2 linked regions of the Arabidopsis thaliana genome follow. The protein of the gene in region 1 interacts with the protein of each later gene in a biochemical or structural test. Each region holds a gene or a part of one and is shown in the gene's direction. Other genes may lie near its edges.

Evidence for each region.
Region 2: the proteins of FWA (region 1) and FT form a complex in vitro, tested with the Arabidopsis thaliana proteins (one study listed by BioGRID).

What each region holds. Positions count from the first base shown.
Region 1 is NC_003075.7:13,036,222-13,042,964, forward strand, and holds FWA (FLOWERING WAGENINGEN), read left to right. Parts: upstream 1-2,138; 5' UTR 2,139-2,196; intron 2,197-2,298; 5' UTR 2,299-2,407; intron 2,408-3,071; 5' UTR 3,072-3,090; coding exon 3,091-3,260; intron 3,261-3,381; coding exon 3,382-3,499; intron 3,500-3,695; coding exon 3,696-4,280; intron 4,281-4,367; coding exon 4,368-4,469; intron 4,470-4,563; coding exon 4,564-4,767; intron 4,768-4,938; coding exon 4,939-5,110; intron 5,111-5,223; coding exon 5,224-5,591; intron 5,592-5,679; coding exon 5,680-6,021; 3' UTR 6,022-6,243; downstream 6,244-6,743. Other genes in the region: homolog of DNA mismatch repair protein MSH3, read right to left, coding at 6,479-6,743.
Region 2 is NC_003070.9:24,329,473-24,334,588, forward strand, and holds FT (PEBP (phosphatidylethanolamine-binding protein) family protein), read left to right. Parts: upstream 1-1,900; 5' UTR 1,901-1,905; coding exon 1,906-2,238; intron 2,239-3,053; coding exon 3,054-3,115; intron 3,116-3,828; coding exon 3,829-3,869; intron 3,870-3,993; coding exon 3,994-4,217; 3' UTR 4,218-4,527; downstream 4,528-5,116. UniProt on the Arabidopsis thaliana protein: Component of the mobile flower-promoting signal (floral stimulus or florigen). Promotes the transition from vegetative growth to flowering. Required for 'SEPALLATA3' (SEP3) and 'FRUITFULL' (FUL) accumulation in mature rosette leaves.

The sequences.
Region 1 (6,743 bases):
CAGTAGAGAGGGAAATTAATACTTTACAGCAGCATTCATGGAAGAAAAAATATCGGCAATGAAAAAAAAAGAGATTTTATTTTTGAGTTCACAAATATTTTACGCAAACATAACAAAATCTAATTTCTCAAGCCAAAAAAAAAGGGTATACAGTAGTACAATAGTCAAAAGCTAGGGACAGTAACAAAAATACTAACCTGAAATTGATAAGAGAATTTTGGAAAAATGGAAGAAAAAAACAATCACAAATTAAGACCTAGTTGTGGAAAAAAAAAACTCTTGATTTATTAACTATAAAATAGCTCCAAATCTTTGACCAAAAAACATACATATAGTATAACCGGTAATAACCGACTGTACCGGTCAACTAGCTCTAAGCGTCACCGACCTCGTGGATCAAACGACACCGACACGTGCTGATGTCTTAGTAGATCTCGTAATAGAAGTGGGACCATAGTTACGTGGCACCATATGAATCGTTCGATCAGATGCAAATCTCCTACCACAAAGAGATAGATAGATAGTTAGTTGTAACTAGGATAAGATAAACATTTTTTTTCATCGAGTTATTGCAATGATTTTTCTCTAAAGTGTAAAATTCTACAAAGATACAATAAAACATCTTAGGCCAATGAATTGAATTATTTGTTATACATATACAGTATACAATTATATGGAGATAAATTTTAGTATCTCTACTCAAATTAGACAATTTGTCTACAATATTGTTATGTGTCATAAACTCGTCCACAACACACAACATTCATCCATTAGGTCCCAATGATCAAAAGTATAGTAGTAAAAAGTAAATCATTGTGGCGACACTTTTTTTCGTCTCAGCCATTTCGAGCTTACTCTGCACATGCTATACATCAACCGCTTCCTAAAACCTACAATTATAAGGTATTAATTTCATAGCTCACAACAAAAGGAACAAAATACATCTTTAAATTCTACAAAAATAAATCTAGAGTTACAACTTCAACCGAGAAAGTCTATCAATGCATATTTCCATTTAAAGTGTGACCTGTCATTGTTAAAAGTTTATTATTGTTGAATAAATTTAGTTAACAATTTCGTTTATCTGTTTTTAATATTATGGGAAGGAGTCATTTTTCACTAAGCATATAGATTTTCTAATGAGTATCCCTATATATATATATATATATTAAACTTCTTTTTTCGGTCAATACAATTTTATAATCTTTCATTTTTTCTATCATTTCATATCATTGTAACTATAAATTTTCGTAAATAGACCTTTAGTGTTAATACAATAGATTTTTATTAATTTTATATCGGATTTTGTTTAAAAAAGAAAAACCATAGGATGGATGATGATTGGTACTTATAAGATTGTAATTGGGTATTTTTGGATTGTTACCACCATTACAAAGCTATTAACAGAGATTGAAGATATCACACAATGAGAGCGCCACAGCTTCAGCAACGTCCCATGCAGCTGATGTGCCTTCGCCTTTCTCTTCCTCATCTGCGCTTATAAATAAGGCAAAGCAACTAGAAAAGATTAAAACCAAAACCAAAACAAAAAACTAGTTAAGACCCTGATTTTGTTTCATAGGTACATACACTTTTCAACATTGATTTTTGTTGTTAAAAATAAAATCCATGTGAAGGTTCTCATCATATACCGAAAGAATGGGAAATTTGAAAATTCCATACTTTTTTAAAAAGACAATTTGTTTTATCACTTTAGTTTTTTTATATATTCAGCGTCTACCAAATCTACACTTTTTTTTCTTTCTCGATTTAGTTAATCTTCGTTCTTGTGTCATGTAATAGATTACTATTTCAAAACATAGATATTTAGTTATCTAAATAAAACTAGGCCATCCATGGATGGTTTCAATTTTTTTTTTCATATGAAAGAAAAGTTAAATTTCATTTCACAATAACCATTGATTACTAAATTTAGTAAAGAATCAATTGGGTTTAGTGTTTACTTGTTTAAGGTTTTTTTTTTTTCTTTTGTTATGGTTCTATACTAATATCAAAGAGTTATGGGCCGAAGCCCATACATCTTTCCGTCGAGAATCTCATATATTCTTTATCGAAGCCCATACATCTTTCCGTCGAGAATCTCATATATACCTTATCCCATTCAACATTCATACGAGCGCCGCTCTAGGGTTTTTGCTTTTCGCCATTGGTCCAAGTGCTATTTGGTTGTTTAAGGTTGCTTTTAGCACACAACTTTAATATTATTTTTATGTTTTTCTTCTTACGATTTATCGATTTGTGGGATACTGACAATCAGATTATTGTTGTTTTTTCCAGCCAAATATCAGATCTTGCGCCGCTCTTTATCCCATTCAACATTCATACGAGCACCGCTTTACGGTTTTTGCTTTTCGACATTGGTCGAAGTGCTATTTGGTTGTTTAAGGTTGCTTTTAGCACACAACTTTAATATTATTTTTATGTTTTCTTCTTACGATTTATCGATTTGTAGGATACTGACAATCAGATTTTTGTTGTTTTTTTCAGCCAAAAATCAGATTTTTTTACATTTTGTTTAGAGAATGATTTTGGTTCCCGATTTGTCTGTTTTTCGCTTATGTGTAAAGTACTTTGAAAAATATTGTGTTAACTCTACAATGGGTATCCCAAATTTTTGAGTTCTTTTGTCTTGTTCGTTGTCGAGACACTAGAAATGTTAATTTAATTCTCTTCTTCCAAAAAGAACCATTTACTGGTTCATTCTCTACTTGAATTTTATTCTGGTTGTATTTCTTTTCCAGTATAAAGCAGATTGTTTTTTGTTATTTTTCAGTTTAGATTGGCTTTGTCTCTTTTGAGTTGTTGCAATTGTCAAACTTTGGAATGAAATAGTAAATAATCTTAGGTTGGTAGTAAATCTTAACATTGTGTTTTTGGGGCATAATTTATCGATAAAATCTTCAGCATTAAAACCAAAAAGAAAAAACTTTTTAAGTCTTTTTTGTTTGGTGGTTAATATAAAGTTTATACGTGTATTAATTTGATCACACTCACTATATGTCCAGGGAGCTAAACCTCTATATCGAGTACTAATAGTATGCAATGTCCAGGTTATTGCATTGAGGGAAAATGAATGGACAAGGTGATTTGGATGCGGTTGGAAACATTCCAAAACCAGGTGAAGCTGAAGGCGATGAGATTGATATGATTAATGATATGTCTGGTGTTAATGATCAAGATGGTGGAAGGATGAGAAGAACCCATAGGCGCACTGCTTATCAAACTCAAGAACTTGAAAAGTTTGTTCACTTTCTTCTTCATTTCATCATCATGCAACATTTCCTATTATTTTTTTTATTTTTTTATTTTGAGTTTGGAATGTTTCTCTTTACTTTGCTCTTTACTTTAAAATGAGTGTAGTTTCTACATGGAAAATCCTCATCCCACTGAAGAACAGAGGTACGAGCTTGGACAAAGGCTTAATATGGGTGTCAATCAAGTCAAGAATTGGTTCCAGAATAAAAGAAATCTCGAGAAGGTACCAAAAAATACAGAAGTGTATACATGCATGTGGCTGTGTCTTTTCTTATTCTTTGCACGTACCGTATTATGGACCATGTTTCTGCCCTATGTTAAAAACAAATACTGTATATAGTTTACCACCTCTCTCTCTCATCCTCAAAATCTGCCTTGATTATGGTATAATTATTGAGTGTGGTTTTTTGGGTAAGCAGATCAATAATGACCACCTTGAGAATGTAACTCTTAGAGAAGAGCATGACAGATTGCTAGCAACTCAGGATCAGCTTAGAAGCGCAATGCTACGTAGTTTATGCAACATTTGTGGTAAGGCAACTAATTGTGGAGACACTGAATATGAGGTGCAAAAACTTATGGCTGAGAATGCTAACTTGGAGCGGGAGATAGACCAGTTCAATTCCAGATACCTTTCTCATCCCAAACAAAGGATGGTCAGTACATCCGAACAGGCGCCTTCTTCTTCCTCTAATCCAGGAATAAATGCAACACCAGTACTTGATTTTAGTGGTGGAACTAGGACGTCTGAGAAGGAGACATCAATTTTTCTGAATCTTGCCATTACGGCTTTGAGAGAGTTGATTACATTGGGAGAAGTGGACTGTCCATTTTGGATGATAGATCCAATCGTTAGATCCAAAGGAGTATCAAAGATCTATGAGAAGTATAGAAGTTCTTTCAACAATGTCACAAAACCTCCCGGGCAAATTGTGGAGGCTTCAAGAGCTAAAGGTTTAGTTCCCATGACTTGCGTGACTCTGGTCAAGACTCTTATGGACACAGTAATAACCTTTAAACCACCACCCATTTTTTAGTGAAATGTTGTTACATGAAATGTTAACAAGTTTTTTTTTTTTTTTTTTAAACAGGGCAAATGGGTCAACGTGTTTGCACCTATAGTCCCTGTGGCATCAACCCATAAAGTGCTATCTACCGGTTCTGGTGGAACCAAAAGTGGCTCACTCCAACAGGTATAATATATATAGTTTTCTGAGTCGTCTATATTGGTTGATAATCCAAGAGAAGTAGAAACATTTCAAATTTGTGATCATATAATTTTGGCAGATTCAAGCAGAATTTCAAGTAATTTCTCCGCTGGTACCAAAGAGAAAAGTAACGTTTATTAGATACTGCAAAGAGATCAGACAGGGCTTATGGGTGGTCGTCGACGTTACTCCTACTCAAAATCCGACTTTGCTGCCCTATGGTTGTTCTAAGAGGCTACCCTCAGGCCTTATCATAGACGACCTGTCCAATGGGTACTCCCAGGTTACTTCTGAATCCTGTTCTTTGAACAATATATGTTGGTTCACTTGTTATTACTCGCAATCATAATTAATGATCTATCAGAGCATCTTGTACTGTGGAGACATAAATAAATGGTTAATGGTTATTATTATATTCACCACATGTATAACACATAGAGATTTGATTTCACAGGTTACATGGATTGAACAAGCGGAATATAATGAGAGTCACATCCACCAACTCTACCAGCCTTTGATTGGCTATGGGATCGGGCTAGGTGCAAAGAGATGGCTCGCGACGCTGCAGAGACACTGCGAAAGCCTCTCGACCCTTTCATCTACCAACTTGACTGAAATTAGTCCAGGTGAAAGCTATTTAAATTATAGAATAAATCTCATTACAACTACTTTTTAGGTCATTTTCGGTTCTCCACTAAATTTGGACAGGCCTTGATTGTGATATATGTTTTCGATATAGGATTGTCTGCAAAAGGTGCAACTGAAATAGTGAAGCTAGCACAGCGAATGACTCTCAACTACTACAGAGGTATTACGAGTCCTTCGGTGGACAAGTGGCAGAAAATTCAGGTGGAGAATGTGGCACAAAACATGAGTTTCATGATCCGAAAGAACGTGAATGAGCCTGGTGAGCTAACTGGGATTGTGCTGAGTGCATCCACTTCTGTTTGGCTCCCAGTGAACCAGCATACACTCTTTGCTTTCATTAGCCACCTGAGTTTCAGACACGAGTGGGATATCTTGACCAATGATACTACCATGGAAGAAACAATCCGGATTCAAAAAGCAAAACGCCATGGAAACATCATCTCTCTTCTGAAAATCGTTGTGAGTTTCAAAACATTTATTTTTGGTTTAATGAGTGTCGTTTTGTCTATGTTTCCATTGATTTTCGTGAGTTTTGCAATGCAAACAGAATAATGGTATGCTGGTTCTGCAAGAGATTTGGAATGATGCATCAGGTGCAATGGTGGTGTATGCACCAGTGGAAACCAATTCTATTGAGCTGGTCAAGAGAGGTGAAAATTCAGATTCTGTGAAGTTTCTTCCTTCGGGATTTTCGATAGTGCCAGATGGAGTAAATGGGTCATATCATAGAGGCAATACTGGTGGAGGATGTCTACTGACATTTGGACTTCAGATCTTGGTGGGCATCAATCCAACTGCTGCACTCATTCAAGGTACTGTCAAAAGTGTCGAGACACTCATGGCTCATACTATTGTCAAGATCAAATCCGCGTTAGATTTACAGACGTAACCATCAGCAGCTCCAGTTTCCGTTGTTCCGCAAGAAATTCGACATTGGCTTGTGCCCTAGTTTGCTTTTCCAACCAAGACTCTTCTGGATTAACTTTTTTATGCGTTTGTTGATCTGTTTGCTGGATATTTCTTGCTTCCTTTCTTCTTTCCTTTTCTGAAACTCTCAAATTGTTACAAACCAGAATTAATAGAGAGTTAGAACAATATATTTCGTATTCAACATTGATGGAGATCATGCTTCACTATATCAGGTGAAAAATGCATTCCAGAATTCTAATAACTACTAGAAATCAAGCTGAAAAGAAACAGGGTTGCGGGTGGAGAAAAGATGTACTGCAACACCGGATTAGAATCCATCTCTCTAATTCTCTTTTCTTGTTATACTAATACACATAAGTTAGTACGCAACTAACAGATGATCAAGACCTTGCAGTTGCTATAATGTTAAGATTAAATCAAAATGAACAAGTTGGTTTTAGTCTGATTTTGCCAGCAATCTTCCAAGCATGCTTTAAAAACTCGAATGCTTTCCAAGGGTCCTCTTCAGAGAGAGCAAATTTCAGGTCTGCAAACAAGTCACCTAGAGCCGAAATAGATTCTTCTGCGCCTCTCGGTTCTTCATGTCCTTCTGGTTCTCCCATGCGTGTATTTCTCTCTCTTGCACGTACCTCAGCTTCCAATTTTGCAGCCATTGAAATGGCTCGACGTATACATGATGGA
Region 2 (5,116 bases), on another chromosome or scaffold:
CAAACTACTTATCTTAAAGCAAACGTAAGTCTCTTTAAGAAGAAATACAAAATGAATATATATCGGATTAAATCAAAAAACAAAAAGATACACTTTTGTTTTTCTGAACAAATGAAAAATGATATACACAAGTGGCGGACAATCCATCTATCTCATTTTAGCGAACAATTAATCTTGTCTGCGACTGCGACCTATTTTTTTCTACATCACATCTTTTGTTTCGTATGAACACTAACATGATTGAATGACAAAATTTACTAACAATTCTTATAGTACTGAGCTCTCCTGTCCAATATTTAAAAATGCATACATTTTTTTGTGTGTAACTAAAATTAGTAGAAAATAAATGCTAGTCGTTAAAAAGTGCATATAGCAGATTTCGAGTTTTTTTTAATTGCGATTTCGATTATCAATGGTCGATCGTAGACGTCTTTTTTAGTAAACAAATCTGAAATTTCTATGAAGGTTACCAAATATTTTGGATTTCAACCTAAGATGAAGTTAACCTATGGACGTGTAGAACAGTGGCTGAAGTCTGAAATGATAAGATAAAGTTCAATATGAATACATTACTGAGATGTTACAAAAAACTACATCACTGAATAATTCCTTTATTTTCCAGTTTGGACAGTAGAACCTATCGCTAATTATTTAATTACCAATTAAAAGAAAAAGAAAGAATAATTCCTACAGTTGTTAGGCTATGGTTATAAGTTTCATCTTTGAACTTAAGAAATGCTCTAATTAGTGGTAATGGTAGTTACATCTATATATGTTGATGCAATGTCAAAAAGAAAATCTCTCAAATTAGCAAATCCATACCTATTTATAGACGCATAAGTATATATACCAATTATCCTGGTCGTGCAAATGGATGGTTAGTATTTTTACAACCAAACTAATGTCTAATTTTAAAAAGTAATCATTATTTTGCTTTAGATTTTTAATAGTTAATATTATATGTATAGATAGATTACCGTATGATATAATTGTTTCAAGACACTAGATACTATCTCAATTATAAAACTCACTTTTCCATAATATGGCCGCTTGTTTATAAAAAAAGAAGAGAAATAAAACAATTGATTTGGTTTATATTATTTAATTGCAGATATCTTGTACTTAATTCATTTTGAGATAATTTTGCGTATTTGAGTTCGGACATTGGTAGGTATGGACGATGAAAATAACTGCCTTCATTCTACATGTTTGAGATTTGTTTGTCGACCATATAACACAAGCGGCTAGAAAAATAGGTGACTATTCTCAAATGTCCTGGTTCTATCTAACCTGAAGGATCCCTTGTTCTACCTGGTATAACTACAAGAAAAGGCTGTTTTATAAAATATATCATTTCTTCTATGATTTCTATCTCAACTTTTTTTTTAGTTTTTTTCTTTTAGAACGTTTTCGCTTTCGAATTTTTTAAGAATTTTTTTTTTCTTTATATCTCTAAATAATAGTTTTAAAAACATAACAAGTGATACTGTAATTTTTTTTTCTCTATAAACTTGGCGGTACCCTACTTTTTTCTTATTTTTATTAATAATCTTACTTTGTTATGATAAATTATGTTAATATATGGCAAAACTAAATATATATGAAACTACTGATTACTCATTATCATAATTAATATCTTTGTATAAAAGTAAATAATATTTAGTCGAGAGAGGTATCTTGTTAAAGGAAATAAATCAAAAATTAGTGGCTACCAAGTGGGAGATATAATTTGGAATATTTCCAGTGTATTAGTGTGGTGGGTTTGGAATACCACAAACAGAAATAAAAAGAAAGAAAAATATGAAATAAGACGACAATGTGTGATGTACGTAGAATCAGTTTTAGATTCTAGTACATCAATAGACAAGAAAAAGATTGTGGTTATGATTTCACCGACCCGAGTTAATGCAAATCCGAAACAGTATAAATATGTGTAGAGGGTTCATGCCTATGATACAAATTAAAGAAGCAGAAACAAAAACAAGTAAAACAGAAACAATCAACACAGAGAAACCACCTGTTTGTTCAAGATCAAAGATGTCTATAAATATAAGAGACCCTCTTATAGTAAGCAGAGTTGTTGGAGACGTTCTTGATCCGTTTAATAGATCAATCACTCTAAAGGTTACTTATGGCCAAAGAGAGGTGACTAATGGCTTGGATCTAAGGCCTTCTCAGGTTCAAAACAAGCCAAGAGTTGAGATTGGTGGAGAAGACCTCAGGAACTTCTATACTTTGGTTCTTTCACTTGAACTCCCTTTTGTCTCTTTTCTTCTTTAGTTTCTTCAGTGCTTCTTACACCTTCTTTTTTAAAATAGAAATTATTTTCCTTTTTTGGGGTATACTGAAAATATTTCTTGGGCATGCAGAGACCTTGGTTAAAAATGCCCCACGCTTTCCTTTTCTCTGTTTTTTTATGATTTATTTGGTTTTACTTTATGATACCCAAATCAAAAACTAATTTATATTTCATTTCTTTTTTCATGAAGATGGACCCATAAAATATTTCTTCCTATCCTAAATTAAATAGAGATAAATTTATGATCTATCCCAAATTTTTTCCACCAACTTCTTGCATAAGTGATTATTATTTAGGATAAGAATCTTGGGATTTTTCTTTGTTCCTCCTACCTAATAATTTAATTTGCATTTGTTTTTTTTTGTTTTTTTTTAAGTATAATTTTTTACTATACTTTGAAAATGGCATTTTTGAAATATCCTTTTTGCTAATTAAAATATCTGCAAAAAGATATAGAAAATTGATGTTCATTAAAACAAATATATATATTGATGAATCTCTGTTGTGGAATATTTGAAAACTGTTTGAATAAGGATATTCTGATATTCAAGCCAGCCTTTAAGATACTCTCTGCTATATATAGACATGTAGCTACTACCTTTTTTCTATTCATAGTTTTCTTCTTCTTTCTTGTGTTATCTCATTTTCCAAACTTCAAAAAAGAAAAAGAAAAAAAGACCTTTTGCTTTCTTGATTTCTTTGAAAATGATAATCTTATCTTCTTATAATTCTTCGTCTTATTTGTTTAATGAAGGTTATGGTGGATCCAGATGTTCCAAGTCCTAGCAACCCTCACCTCCGAGAATATCTCCATTGGTTTGTGCACTAACTCAACTCTTTAATTAATTCACTTTTAAGTTATAGCATAGCTCAAACATGTTGCTCGAATTATATATATAGACACTCAACTACACATGTAAAACTGGACATGTATTTTGGATACTTTGAAATTGAGTAGATCACTTATAACTTAAGACTCAAACATTTTACATTTAATAGAAGGAGACATATAAAATCAACTTCGAGAGTGCGATGCATCAATTTGTCTCCCAAAAAAGCCCACACCCAAGCTAAATTGACATATTTTGTTCAAAAACTTTACTATGTGTAATGTAAATATGTATTATGTATGTCTGTGTATTTTACTGATCGCACATAGATTCTATAGAATGTATAGGACGTGACTTGAACTAAGATTTGTTTTTTTCACTTTAAAGTGGTCTTTGTACGGGAATATCATTGAGCTTAAAATAGCCTGATGACATCATCATTGTTCCTTGAAGTGAGCAGGACTAGGTTTCCTGTTATATCACTTTTTATTTTTATTTATATATTCATGCACTTGAATGTTATTGCATGTTTTGCTAGTCACTTGCACTAGTAATCTAGGAATTAGTTACGTTGCTATTATTTTTTTGTAAGAAAATAAAGTTTAAGTAGCATTTCAATTCTGTCAAAAAAAGAAGTAGCATTTCAATTATGTTGTGGTGCCATAGCTTAAACATGTGTATGGCTATCTCTCATTACAGGTTGGTGACTGATATCCCTGCTACAACTGGAACAACCTTTGGTGAGTTTTATTCTATATATTAGATCGCTAGGTGTTAGAAATATAGAAAGGTATATGAAATAGCCTAATTAATTAGTTACTAGCTAGAAAATTCACATGTTTTGATGAACTTTTTATTTTTCAGGCAATGAGATTGTGTGTTACGAAAATCCAAGTCCCACTGCAGGAATTCATCGTGTCGTGTTTATATTGTTTCGACAGCTTGGCAGGCAAACAGTGTATGCACCAGGGTGGCGCCAGAACTTCAACACTCGCGAGTTTGCTGAGATCTACAATCTCGGCCTTCCCGTGGCCGCAGTTTTCTACAATTGTCAGAGGGAGAGTGGCTGCGGAGGAAGAAGACTTTAGATGGCTTCTTCCTTTATAACCAATTGATATTGCATACTCTGATGAGATTTATGCATCTATAGTATTTTAATTTAATAACCATTTTATGATACGAGTAACGAACGGTGATGATGCCTATAGTAGTTCAATATATAAGTGTGTAATAAAAATGAGAGGGGGAGGAAAATGAGAGTGTTTTACTTATATAGTGTGTGATGCGATAATTATATTAATCTACATGAAATGAAGTGTTATATTTATACTTTACGTGTATTCATTTCTTTTCGATGCAAAAATCAGGCAGTGGGAAGAATCTGCTGTTTTACTTTTGGGTTCCATAATACACTTTTTTGTGTTGCTACTAAAGTACTGATAATATCCAAGTCGATCATTATATATCAAACTAAAGAGTTTGCATTCAATACATAAGCTAGAAAAGTAGAGCAATATTTTGGTTTTAAGTTTATGGGCTCACGTATGAAGAAACACATGTGTAAGATCGAATCCTAGGATCAAACCTTAATTATTAAATCCTTGAAAGGTAAACATATGAAGTATTTATACATTCTGAAGATTAATTACTAATGGACTTCGACGTTAGATCTTGTTCCCATGATAGAAAAACGTTTTTTTTTTAATTTGGGATAAATACGAGGAACAACTTAAGCATTTATGTTTTATTTAAAAGCGGTTTAGGCGGTTGTATTGGCTCCGTCTAGACGTTATGCTGTCAAGTTATGGTTAGATCACTGATTCAACGCCTAAAATAGTATAAGTTTCGATTTAATGTATTTTCTATTTTAAAATTAAATTTGAGTTTAAAACTAAAAATAAAACACTTTAGACATCCAAAAAAAGGAAGTGTCTTTCTGTAGTTAAACTTTAAATATCCATAAACTCTTTATGAACGTAGATGGTCT